Tribolium castaneum: one gene and its partners. The protein of the gene in region 3 purifies or fractionates together with the protein of the main gene of each other region. This does not show direct contact. Links are inferred from orthologs where the notes say so. Each region holds a gene or a part of one and is shown on either strand. Other genes may lie near its edges.

Region 1 (3,268 bases), on a different chromosome or scaffold from region 3:
GGAACTCATCACCGATCTCACGGCTTTGATGTTGCAAGTAAAAAGTTTGGCCGATTCGGATCAAAACGCATACGAATTGCAAGTGCTCCAAGGCACGATGGAACAAATCAAGAGGAAGTTGACGCCAAGTAATCAACTAGTGTTCCAGAACTCCGTCGAAATTCACATGAAACACATTCAAGTCGGTCTCGGGCAAAATTTAGATAAAAAACTCGCCATAAATGGAATTTCCAAACTATGATACTTTTTTTCTTTAAAAATGCAGGTTTTTAAAGCAGAATGCTGTGCAATACTATAATGGCCACAATTTCGATTTACACGTCTCGTTTTATCTTACTGTTTACCGCGGGTTTTATTTATAATTACTGTATTTTTGTGGGTATTTCACAGAATGTGTATATTTTACTTGTGTAATTAATAAAAATGTATATATGAGGCACCATATGTAATTTTAGAACTGTTCAAATTTTTATCAAAATTGGTTTGAAAAAAAAAACGTCTACTTAGAAAAATATTTTATTGAGCTAATCACCCCTAGCCTATTTTTTGTGTTTCTGCAAAGTTTTCAACAACTCATCGGCATCTTCCGGACTTTTCACCCGCAATAAAATCGGCACGGGTGGAGGTTGCGTGTCTGGATTTGGAATACAAACTAACATAACATCCTTTTTCCCCATCCTTTGCATTGGGATACTTTCCGACAAAATGAAATTACAAATTAATTTTCCTAAATTCGTATCAGCGCGCACGATGAGTTGGACTTTCTCGCCGTTTGGGACTGGCTTGAGGTACAGAGTGCCCACGCCATGGTCTCCAAAAGTGCCATCCTTCTTCACAAAAACCTTGCATCTGATTGAATAAATGTGTCCCTCTTCTACCACTGGCGTAAACTCAACTTTGGGCGGCTCGTCTTCGTCTTCTTGCTCTTGGGGCTTTGGCTCATCTGCTAGTTTTATGACAGTGCTTGTGAATGAAAATTTGCCGCTGTCAGAGCCTGAATTACCAAACGAAAACGGTTGCGATTTAAAGGAGCTGTCGCCTCCTGATAGGGTAGCTGTGCTAGTGCTTGAAGTGAAACTAACTGTTGTGGTACTGGAGCCAAATGAAAATCCTGTGGATGCGGTAGAAGTGGCCCCAAATGAAAATTTAGGAGTTGTGGTTGTAGAGGTTGTACCAAAGGAAAATTGGGGCGCAGTTGTGGCACTAGTTGATGTTTCTGACGCTGCCTCGCCTTTCGCCTTTTCAAGTTCGTTGATATATTTATCGTAATCTTTGAAAATTGGTTGTAAGTTGATAAACGGGTTTGATGACACGTGTTTTTTTATCCATTCAGTGACACTTTCATTTAATCCTTTTAATTTGGCATAATATTCGTCTAATTTCTTGTCGGAAGTCTCTGCTTCTTTTTCCGTAGTTCCGTTGGTTTTACTAGTCTCGGTTTTATTTAAGTTTGACAAAAATCCAAACGTGTTGGATGCACTACTTGGCGTTTTACCAAACCCAGAAAAACCACCGAATGCGCTGGGTTTGCTATCGTCACTCTAAAAATTAAAATTGTTCGTAATCAAACAACACACATTAGAAACCGTACTGACTTGGACTGATGATATGGGGTTCCTCCTGCGGGCAACTTTTATAACTCTGTTCTTCAAAGCTTCATCTGAAGCTTTTGTAAACGTTCCAGCCGTCTCTGGTTCGTCCTCCCTATCCCAATTATCGTGATTTAAATCACTTGTTGCCGTTCTTTTAGCCATAAATGGAGAAACGAATTTGCGAGGTTAAGATACCGACACACTTCCAAACAATTTCACAAAACATAGACTATCACAGAATTGGCTTATTTAATGATTTGCATGTCGTGAGACGGAAAAATTCGTTTTAAGCACTTTTTTGGGTAAAATAATTTACAAAAATTGACAACCACTATGCGTGCCGGCTCGTATCAGGCAAACGCTGATTGGCGGGAATTTAATCACGTGACTACGAACTTAAAATTTGGCGGTATTTTTCCGGTGGAATTTTTTGCCAGTCGTAGCGGATACGAATCTCATTTTTTGACTTCTTTCCGGTGTTTGTTTTTAGACTGGTGTAATTGAAACGAAGCGAGACGAAAATTCCATAAAGTTTATTTAACCCTTTCACCAGAATTACAAGAATTTGTAATTTACATTTTGTGTATAAATAAAAAAAAAATATATCTATATTTTTGAATGAACTGAAGGAATGTAACATGTCGCCCTACTATCTACACTACGATAATTGCCTACGAAAATAAAATCCTTACTTCGTAAAAAAATTTAAATGAACTTAAACGTCCGAGTGCAATTTTGTTTAAGGCACTGCAAAATATATTGCACGAAATAAAATTACCATAAAATATAACAATAAATACTGTACAAACTATTTTGTTTCTGTCTCATGGAATCAACAATACACTAAAATGGAATGTATATATAAAATGTAAAACTTAATTCTAATTTATGTAACAATGTAATGAAGCTCCAACTATAGAGACTAAGCACTTGCTTTACAATATATTTTGGAAAATATCATGCTTGTAAATATACCTCTCTTCTTACTAATGGACGGATATGAGTTTAGAGCAAATCTTCAGGTAATTTTGCTTATAGGCAACCGGCAGGCACTTGGACAATTTCCAAAAGGGAATGAAACTAAACGGAATGCTCGTAAATGTACCCATAAAACCCTGAACTTGTTCAAAAACAAGAAATGCATCAACAATTTCTACAACAAATTATCACATACTCAATTTTTCCGTGTAAAACTGTATGAAACTTGAACTAATCTAAACTTTACAAAGTATGTCATAGTTTAAGTAAATCGAGCCTACTGATGACTTTTACTCAACAAATGCGAATTAAACTCGTAAACATTGCAGCACTGCTCTCCGCAGATATTGCATTTCCAAGGATTCGCGTCGGAGTGACACCCTTTATGCAAAAAGTACAAAGTCTGGTCTGGAAATCCGATCCCGCAGAAAATACATTGTAAACTAGACAAAGACCTTTTGCCCATCGCCCGCCACAGGGAGGAGTCCGACGGTTGTTCGGGCCCCGTCGAGGTGATAGCCCCATTGGTGGTGGTCGCCGTGTCACTGGGCGAAGTCTCAGGATTCTGGTTGGGACTCGCGGTGGAGCGCCCCCTTGGCGAGGAGTTCATCCGCGAGACGATCTTCCTCTTTAAATCGTCACGAAGTAAGCTCTTCAACGGAGACACTTTGATTAACGAGCTAAGGCTACTTGAGGTC
Region 2 (4,198 bases), on a different chromosome or scaffold from region 3:
ACCCCCGTCTTCCAAATCCTTCCAGTCCGCGTTGGTCCAAGTGGTGAACTTCTCCAAAATATAGGCCGCCAAGCCCACCGGAGAATCGTTCAGAGCCACCCCCACGGTGTCGGGCTTGGTGGCTTGCAAGTGCATGTACCCCATTTCCAGCAAAATATTTGAGTAGAAAGCCGAGAGCGGATATATTTTCGATTCCATCTCCTTTGAAACGATTAGGGGAGGGTAAATACTGCCCAAAAGAAGTTTCAAGTTGGATAACGGGGTGTTAACGAAACACATGTTGGAGTGAACCCCCAGCACATGTTCCGGGAACAAAGTGGCCATGTTCTGGACAATCAGCGCCCCCCAGTCGCCCCCTTGGATGTAATATTTGTCAAAACCGATCCGTTTCATGAAGTTTTTGAACACCACGGACATTTCAATCGGACCCAGACCGGGGCGAACTGCCGCCTCCGAGAATCCGTAACCGGGAAGTGACGGGACAATGACTTCGAAGACGAAGTTGCGGCCTTCGGCCGGTTTAGTTAGGAGGGGGATAATGTCGTAGAACTCCCGGACTGATCCGGGCCAGCCATGGAGGAGGAGGAGCGGGAGGACTTTGAGGTTTCCAGGACTTGGGGGTTTGACGTGGATGTAGTGTAGTCGGAGTCCTTGGACGCTGACCGTGAACTGGGGATACTGGTTGAGGAACTTCTCGCGTTCCCTCCAGTTGTATTTGGTCCTCCAGTGGTCGATGATTTTGCCCAGGAGCTTGGTGTTCATGCCGTAGTGCTGCTGGGCCCCCTCGAGTGGGGGCACCAAGGGGCGCGCGTTGGCCAGGCGGTGCTGGAGGTCCTTGAGAACCTAAAACATGAGATTATGCAATCGACGTTCGCGACAATAAACGGTGACCTAGAACTTGATTGAGTGATATTTTTGTTGTCTGTTTATTTGTACGCTAATTGGTTTGGTGTTTTTGTTTACCTCGTCAGAGACATTGATTTTGAAAGGCTTGATCGCGGTGTCTTCTTTCGAGGGGTCGCGGGGGCCCCACCAAGTGTTTTCTAATTTTGGAACAGGTGGGGTTTCGAACAGTTTACTGATTTGGTAAGCTGTTAGGACTGTGATAATCACTAGAACTAGTTTGATGATTAGGCCCATGTTTTGCGCGTTAAATGCCGGTTGTGTATTTAAATTGTTTACAAACGATGAGACCGCACCGCTTGGGAGGATAACACGCTACTGAAGTTTGAACTATGACTCTGGCTTATAAAAGTTTTAAAGTATAAATACAAATTGATAGCTGTAATTCGTGCACACACTTACCTATCATAAGATATGACTTTCAAATATTTATCATATAAAAAGTTTAGATAGGTCTAGACACATCAATACTTGTTTCCACAAGTTTTTGGCAAGTTTTAATGACTTGGATGTTTGATACAAAGTCATGTACAATGGATTTATAGACATTTTGCACTAATTACTATAATTAATTGTTTGTGATACAAATAACACGGCATAAAAATAAAAATTATTGGTGAAAACGAAGGTGGAATGAGTTATTTTTCAGTTCTTCCACTCATTCTGATTCAGCATTTCACTGTTGAAATATGATGACTAACTATTATTAAAAACTAGAAATAAATTGAAATATAAAAAAATACAAATGAAATCTTTTGACGCTGAAAGATCAATAAAAAATATACCTGCACAGTATGTAAAAGCTGTACAGTTTCTCACTGTCCATCCTGGTGAAAATAGCGTGCTCTTGGGATTGAGTTGTCTTGGTAACAGGTCACTCATTTGTACCCAAATGGTTCTTAAGAAAGTGAACCTATTTTACTTTTCTACCAGACCGTACTAAAGCAGACCTCAATATGTCCAAAAAATATTTTTAAAAGACACGTTGGAACTTCTAAAGCTCGCGAAATCGTCGAAATTAAAGTTTGTTGTCTATCTGGACTTTGCCATTGGTTTTCTATATTGAGATTGAAACGGAAACATTTTTTATTGAAGATAGTCGTATATAATTGTATTATTAGGATATTAAGAGTATAAGCGAAGCGTTATACATATGTGCCAAGGCTAGTTGCTTGACTGCCGACTGCAGTCCGAGTAATATACACTATTTTTTCTCCAAACGTATAAAACAACAACATAATTAAATAGATTATTTAAAAAAGCACCACAATTTGTGTTATTCCTGAATCCGGACACTACATTGACAACTTTTACCAACCAAAAAAAAAAATTCGCAAAATGGTTGACGCATATCAGCTCGTAACTTACGCATTGTTTGGTAAAAGAACAGTGTTAACAACAATTTTTTTACTAATTTTAACGCTATTTCTATTGAAAATAGTTCAGTAACATGTAATACGCTCAGAAATACTTCTTCATTATCCAGTATGTGTTAGGTTTTCTCCCATAAAACGACCAATAAAGCTGAAATAGTGTTAAAACTCAAAGTAATAATACAGCAATTTTAATGCCAGATTTATTCTTTATTGTCCAATATTTCTTTTATTCGCAGACGACGACTACTATAATTACTATTCTTTGTAATCTCACATATGAGGAAAATTATTACTATCATGTTTTTTTAGTATTTGGACACTTTTCATTATTATCTTCGCTCAATAATGACTCGCTCTTTGTAAGAAGATTCCACAATATTTTTTTATAATTCTTAACAATCTGAGAAGAGGTATCTTTAACGTTGTTAAAAATAAGATAAGATAGGTTTGATGCTTACTGCATTGTGGTAAAATTTTTTAATCCTTCCTCGTATATCGAGGAAGCAAGCTCTTTTAGGAACTTTTCTATTTTACATGCCTAAACTGACAGTCCAGAAAAATGACACCTAACGTCAAACACTTTAAGGTCAAAATCGAGAATTTCTGAATATCTGAACCAACTTTAAAAAATTCCAACGGCTTGACACGCGTGAGCGATTGTAATTTATTAAATAATAGTTGTAGTATTGTGTAAATAATAAAAATGACAAATACCAATGTAGACGACCTTACAAGTGCCTTACAAGGCACTCGTGTGAGCCCCACTGGGGTCACCTTTGCCGGCCAGTCTTTAAAACTTGATACTGTTGATGACGGTAAGGTTATATCAAACCCCATTGCACCAATCGACATAAATTTATCAAACTCGCAGCAAAAAGCGTAATTGAAGAGATAGAAAAATGCACCAACCTCCAATTTTTAAACTTGGAAGGCAATACTTTGGGAGTTGAAGCGTCCAAAGGCATTGCCAAAGCATTGGAAAAACATCCCGAGTTTAAGAGAGCGCTATGGAAGGACATGTTTACGGGCAGAATGAAAACAGAAATACCGAAAGCTTTGGTATAATCTAACCAATTATATACAAACAAAAAAATTGAGTCAAAATTTCAGGAATTTCTTGGTAGTGGTTTAGTAACGGCAGGTGCCCGCTTGACTGAACTGGACATGAGTGACAATGCTTTCGGCCCAATTGGTGTCGAAGGACTTGCTGCTCTTTTGAGAAGCTCCTCATGCTATGCTTTAGAAGAACTCAGGTTAAATAATAACGGCCTAGGCATCACTGGTGGTAAATTGTTAGCGTCAGCCCTAACAGACTGCTATAACTCTAGTAAAGAAACGGGAAAACCACTCCAGCTCAAGGTTTTTATCGCTGGAAGAAACCGACTTGAGAATGAAGGTGCAAAAGCACTTGCTGAGGTTTTCAAGGTAAAATAAATTTCCAATCAGTGACCTATAACTTGACAAAACAATATTTCTTCACAGATGATTGGTACACTTGAAGAAATAGCAATGCCCCAGAATGGTATTTACCACGTTGGCATATCGGCACTATCTGAGGCTTTTACCCAAAATAAAAATCTGCAAATTTTAAACTTGAATGACAATACGATTGGTGAAAAGGGGGCTGAGGCCATTGCTAAAGCCCTCCCACACTTGCAACAGTTGAAAGAAATCAATTTTGGCGACTGTTTGCTGAAAACTGCCGGAGCTATTTCTCTAGCAAATGTTTTAAAAACTGGTCATGCCAACTTGGAGGAGTTAACACTTGGGCACAACGAAATTCGCCTGAAAGGGGGGCTTCAGTTGGTTAAAGCCATGGCGAATAAAAGTAAATTGAAAGTGTTAAATTTGAACGGAAATCAGTTTGGGGAAGACGGTCGTAAACAAATTGAAACCGAAATTAAACAAATAGGCAAATT
Region 3 (3,935 bases):
GTAGTCTCCAAAAGCCGCTGAATTATATACTCAAAGTATTGTGACAACATGTACGTATCGGGAGTTCCCGTGTCTTCGTTAGTTTCAGCTGCATCGTAGGCGGCTTCAGCCAATCCAGAAAACGCCCAACAGACATTCGCCGCAACTCGCGGTTCAGCCTTAAGTCCATTAATCAAACTTTCCAGCAAGGGCTTAAGATAATTCTCGTTAATGGCCGCTTCGGGAATAATTTCGCAAATTCGGCCGAAAGTCCAAGCCGCAGTATCTCTCACGATAACGCTACTATCATACATCAGCTCTATCAAGGTTGGCATGGCTTGCTCCACCAATGGTTTAAGAGTGGTGTTATCTAACCCGCCAAGAATCGAGCCGAAAGCCATAAGCGACGCATCTCTAAATCGCCAATTCTCAGACTTTATGTTTTCTTTGATAAAAGGTAAAACGTGTGGAACAACTTCGTTTTCGCAGCATGTGGCCAAAAGCATTAAACAAACGCCGGCAGCTTTGCTCGGGTTCCAGTCGTCTTCGTCATCGAGCTCTTCTTGCTTCGTTAGTTTTTGCAGAAGGATGGGTACGATAAATTGGAGCGCACCTTTGGCGTAGTGGCGTGATACTCTGGAAGAAATATTCGCTTAACTGACTGACGGTTGAGTCAGCGTAACAGGACAATGAATAATCTCCGTTCTAATAATAGGCTTGTTGACTTAACACTTATCTATTTTTTGATGTTTCAAACGCAAATTGTGAAAATCAAATCAAAACAAGGCTTTTATCGATCATAAAAATACCAAACTAAAGTTAGCAACACAAAAGCATCGTTAGTTTAATTTGTGTTTATAAAAATCTGACTAGGTTTATGAAACTACTACTAATCTGATTCTTTTAATAGCATGGCAAAAGCCGTAAAAAGATTATTTATTCTTGTTAACATTTATTGTGGGAATTCTCTGACCGAAGTAAAAACAGAAAAACTTAGTTATCTAATGATATTTAACGATTAGCTGATTAAGTTACGAATTTATCATATCGCTCACAGACTGGATTTCACTTAAACGCATAAACAGGGAATTACAGTTTTTACTAATAGTCATTCCAGAAATGATGCTCTTACCTGGCTGGGGGCCGGCCTGCATCCGCTGCCTCATTGGCTTCGATGGACAAATCCACTTCTTCGTCGCTAACATTCGACCAAAATTCAATACCTTGAAGCGCCACGGCATCATTGTCAGATTTCATCGCTTCTAAAGTAATGGGAAAGAGAGCTTGGCCCATGTAGGGCTCCATATATTGATAATACAAAGACATAATTTTAACCAAACATTGCAACGCTGCAACTTTAATTTGCGTATCTGGCGACTGAGTGGCTTCGCACACCACCTCCATGATGAAATTCCTTTCAGTTGCCTTTTCGAAGTTAGCTTTAGTGAATTCGAGCGAATTTAACAACGCCTGCGTTGCCGCAAATCTGACATGATTGCTGGGCTCTGTGGAGCGCATTCCGTGGATGATCGCCGTGAGGATGTCGTTGGATTGGGTAACGAGCACGTCTGAGTCGATTTCCTGGCAGATGTAGCCGATGGTCTCCAGCGTTGCTTCTTTCTGCATTTCGGTGGAGTTTGGTTGGACTACGTTGTTCACTAGCGTGACGATCAGGTCGGGCCATTGGTGGTGCGGTAATTCGGTGACAGCGATGTAAGCCACGCATTGGGCCGCTGACGAAGGCCGGTTGGTCTCCGTGCCCAGGGCCCCTACGACCTGGAGAAAACGGTCGAAAAAAACACTAACAAAACCGGTATATAAACAATTACGTTTTTCTTGACGTAGTTGCGTATCTCCTCCGGTGCCGACAGCCATCTCTGTTGACATAACTGTTTGATGTTGGGATCTTTGGACGTGAGTTGGTTTTTCAGTTGGAGACCGGCGGCCATGCGAGCAACGGGACTGTTGCCCCCATGTCGCAAGATATCGGATAGAGTCTTGATAAATTCTAAGATATTAGCGGCGGCAGCTTGCTCAAGAAATGTTGATGCTTGCTCCAGTTCATTTTTATCTGGAAATCGTCAAATAGGCTGTGATTAACGGAAAATCACTGAGGATAATGACCTCGAAAAGTGTGAGGTTATGATGAAACTTTGCGAGCTTGAGGGCTTGAAAAGAGTTGCATTTTGGGAAAAAGAGCGACCGACGTTTCGACGCCGGTGCGGCGACATCGTCAGGTTTTTGGTTTAAGCCCTGACGGGGAGTTGCTTGGGAATTTCGTAAAATGTCAAAGCGGGTTGAAATTTATCGAAAAGGCGGAAATGAGGCGGGGTTGAGAGGAACGTGCTTTTTGATGATTAGGCATGCGATTATATGGCAGTGGTTAAAAAATGATGGCAACTTGTCAAATAGTCAAGTTTTGTACTTACCGGGAGAAACAGTTTTTTCTAGCACTTGTATAAGTCGGAGTGTTTCTTGATGCATTTTATTGTAGAATTACTGACTAATATTGTAAACTTAACGGTTTTAATTAATTGGTTCTTGCAATCAGCCGGCTAACACCACATGGACATGTAGGATGATTAAACTGGCAGGAAGGCTATATTCATACGCTGCTGCTAACGTATGAATGACGGTTCCTTATCGTTATTTCAAAACTACGGCCAATTTCAATCGTTGTTTACCCAAATTATATCAAACAGCGGTTCACACAGTTGTAACAATTTACTTGAAGCACTTTACGTTGTAAATTAACTTGTGATTTGTCACTAACGATAATAAACACTTATACTGTATTTCAGTGCGGAGACAAGATGACCGTTAAACCGATTTGCTTTGCGCGCATTTTCTTAATAGGTTTCTGTACAGTTTACAATGATTACTGCTTTTTTTGATAGATGTCGCAACCATTTATGTTTCTAAGCCAACTTTATAGTGCTTATTCAAAAATATAATATAGGATATTACATTGTTTTTAGTCCCATTTTACTGCAGCTGACGGTTTTTATGATAAACCAATTGTAAATATAACTTGAAAAACAATTTAATGAACTATTTTTCAGACTTTTGACTGTATATATCCCTTTAACGATTCTGTATAAAAATAGGATTCATTTTAAACATAATTGGCCACGCCTATCAATATTTAATTGACTAAAATAACAATATAAATAATTATTTTCTCATTTTTTTTTGACCTAAATTACTTCTCCTGCTCAACGTTTGATTACTATTCATTTTAGTCATAAAAAAAATTCAATTCAAATTATTATTATTATTATTATTATTATTATTATTATTATTATTATTATTATTATTATTATTATTATTATTATTATTATTATTATTATTATTATTATTATTATTATTATTATTATTATTATTATTATTATTATTATTATTATTATTATTATTATTATTATTATTATTATTATTATTATTATTATTGTTATTACTATTATTATTAAGATGTTTCATTTATTGCTATAGGGATGTTAAAAGTGGGTTTATTTTAAAATTAGGTAAAGTCGAGTACTTTCTTCCTGGTGAGCAAAACAAGTTTAGAGCAGAGTGTAATGCATTGTTTCTTGGGTGTTTTGCGAGCACTTTGTGTTATTTTGAACGCACTTAGCTGCACAAACCTGATGGTATCTTGCATACTGTGAATTTATATTTAACATGTTGCGTAGACACATGCATTTCCATTAAAAAAGAAACCACCTGATCGAAGAAAAGGTGAAGGCTTTAGGGAGTAATTAATTGTGGTCATTAATAAAATCTGTAGAAATATGTGGCTTGAGTGTAAGTAACTTCGTAAATATGGGTTTTACAGTGTCCACCACCTTTAATTGCCTTAATAAAACCAATTTAAAAGTCATAACATTCGCCTTTAATATCCAATAAATAAGAGTATAAAGTTTTTCTTTGGACAAACAAACAACTTATGAGGACAGTCG

The links.
Region 1: the proteins of Fs(2)Ket (region 3) and Nup50 purify together in Homo sapiens (affinity purification with mass spectrometry; 4 studies listed by BioGRID and IntAct, counting the BioPlex papers as one, with this or other methods). This does not show direct contact. The link is inferred for Tribolium castaneum from reciprocal best matches to the Homo sapiens genes KPNB1 and NUP50.
Region 2: the proteins of Fs(2)Ket (region 3) and RanGAP purify together in Homo sapiens (affinity purification with mass spectrometry; 3 studies listed by BioGRID and IntAct, with this or other methods). This does not show direct contact. The link is inferred for Tribolium castaneum from reciprocal best matches to the Homo sapiens genes KPNB1 and RANGAP1.

Annotation. Positions count from the first base shown.
Region 1 is NC_087402.1:5,415,391-5,418,658, forward strand, and holds Nup50 (nuclear pore complex protein Nup50), read right to left. Parts: upstream 1,969-3,268; 5' UTR 1,755-1,968; coding exon 1,596-1,754; intron 1,542-1,595; coding exon 540-1,541; 3' UTR 501-539; downstream 1-500. Other genes in the region: mip130 (protein lin-9 homolog), read left to right, coding at 1-241; zinc finger protein ztf-16, read right to left, coding at 2,848-3,268. UniProt on the Homo sapiens protein: Component of the nuclear pore complex that has a direct role in nuclear protein import. Actively displaces NLSs from importin-alpha, and facilitates disassembly of the importin-alpha:beta-cargo complex and importin recycling.
Region 2 is NC_087394.1:31,333,285-31,337,482, forward strand, and holds the start of RanGAP (ran GTPase-activating protein 1), read left to right. Parts: upstream 1-1,398; 5' UTR 1,399-2,982; coding exon 2,983-3,094; intron 3,095-3,150; coding exon 3,151-3,338; intron 3,339-3,389; coding exon 3,390-3,704; intron 3,705-3,761; coding exon 3,762-4,198. UniProt on the Homo sapiens protein: GTPase activator for RAN. Converts cytoplasmic GTP-bound RAN to GDP-bound RAN, which is essential for RAN-mediated nuclear import and export. Mediates dissociation of cargo from nuclear export complexes containing XPO1, RAN and RANBP2 after nuclear export.
Region 3 is NC_087398.1:2,430,676-2,434,610, forward strand, and holds the start of Fs(2)Ket (importin subunit beta-1), read right to left. Parts: upstream 2,801-3,935; 5' UTR 2,464-2,800; coding exon 2,409-2,463; intron 2,051-2,408; coding exon 1,809-2,050; intron 1,756-1,808; coding exon 1,112-1,755; intron 616-1,111; coding exon 1-615.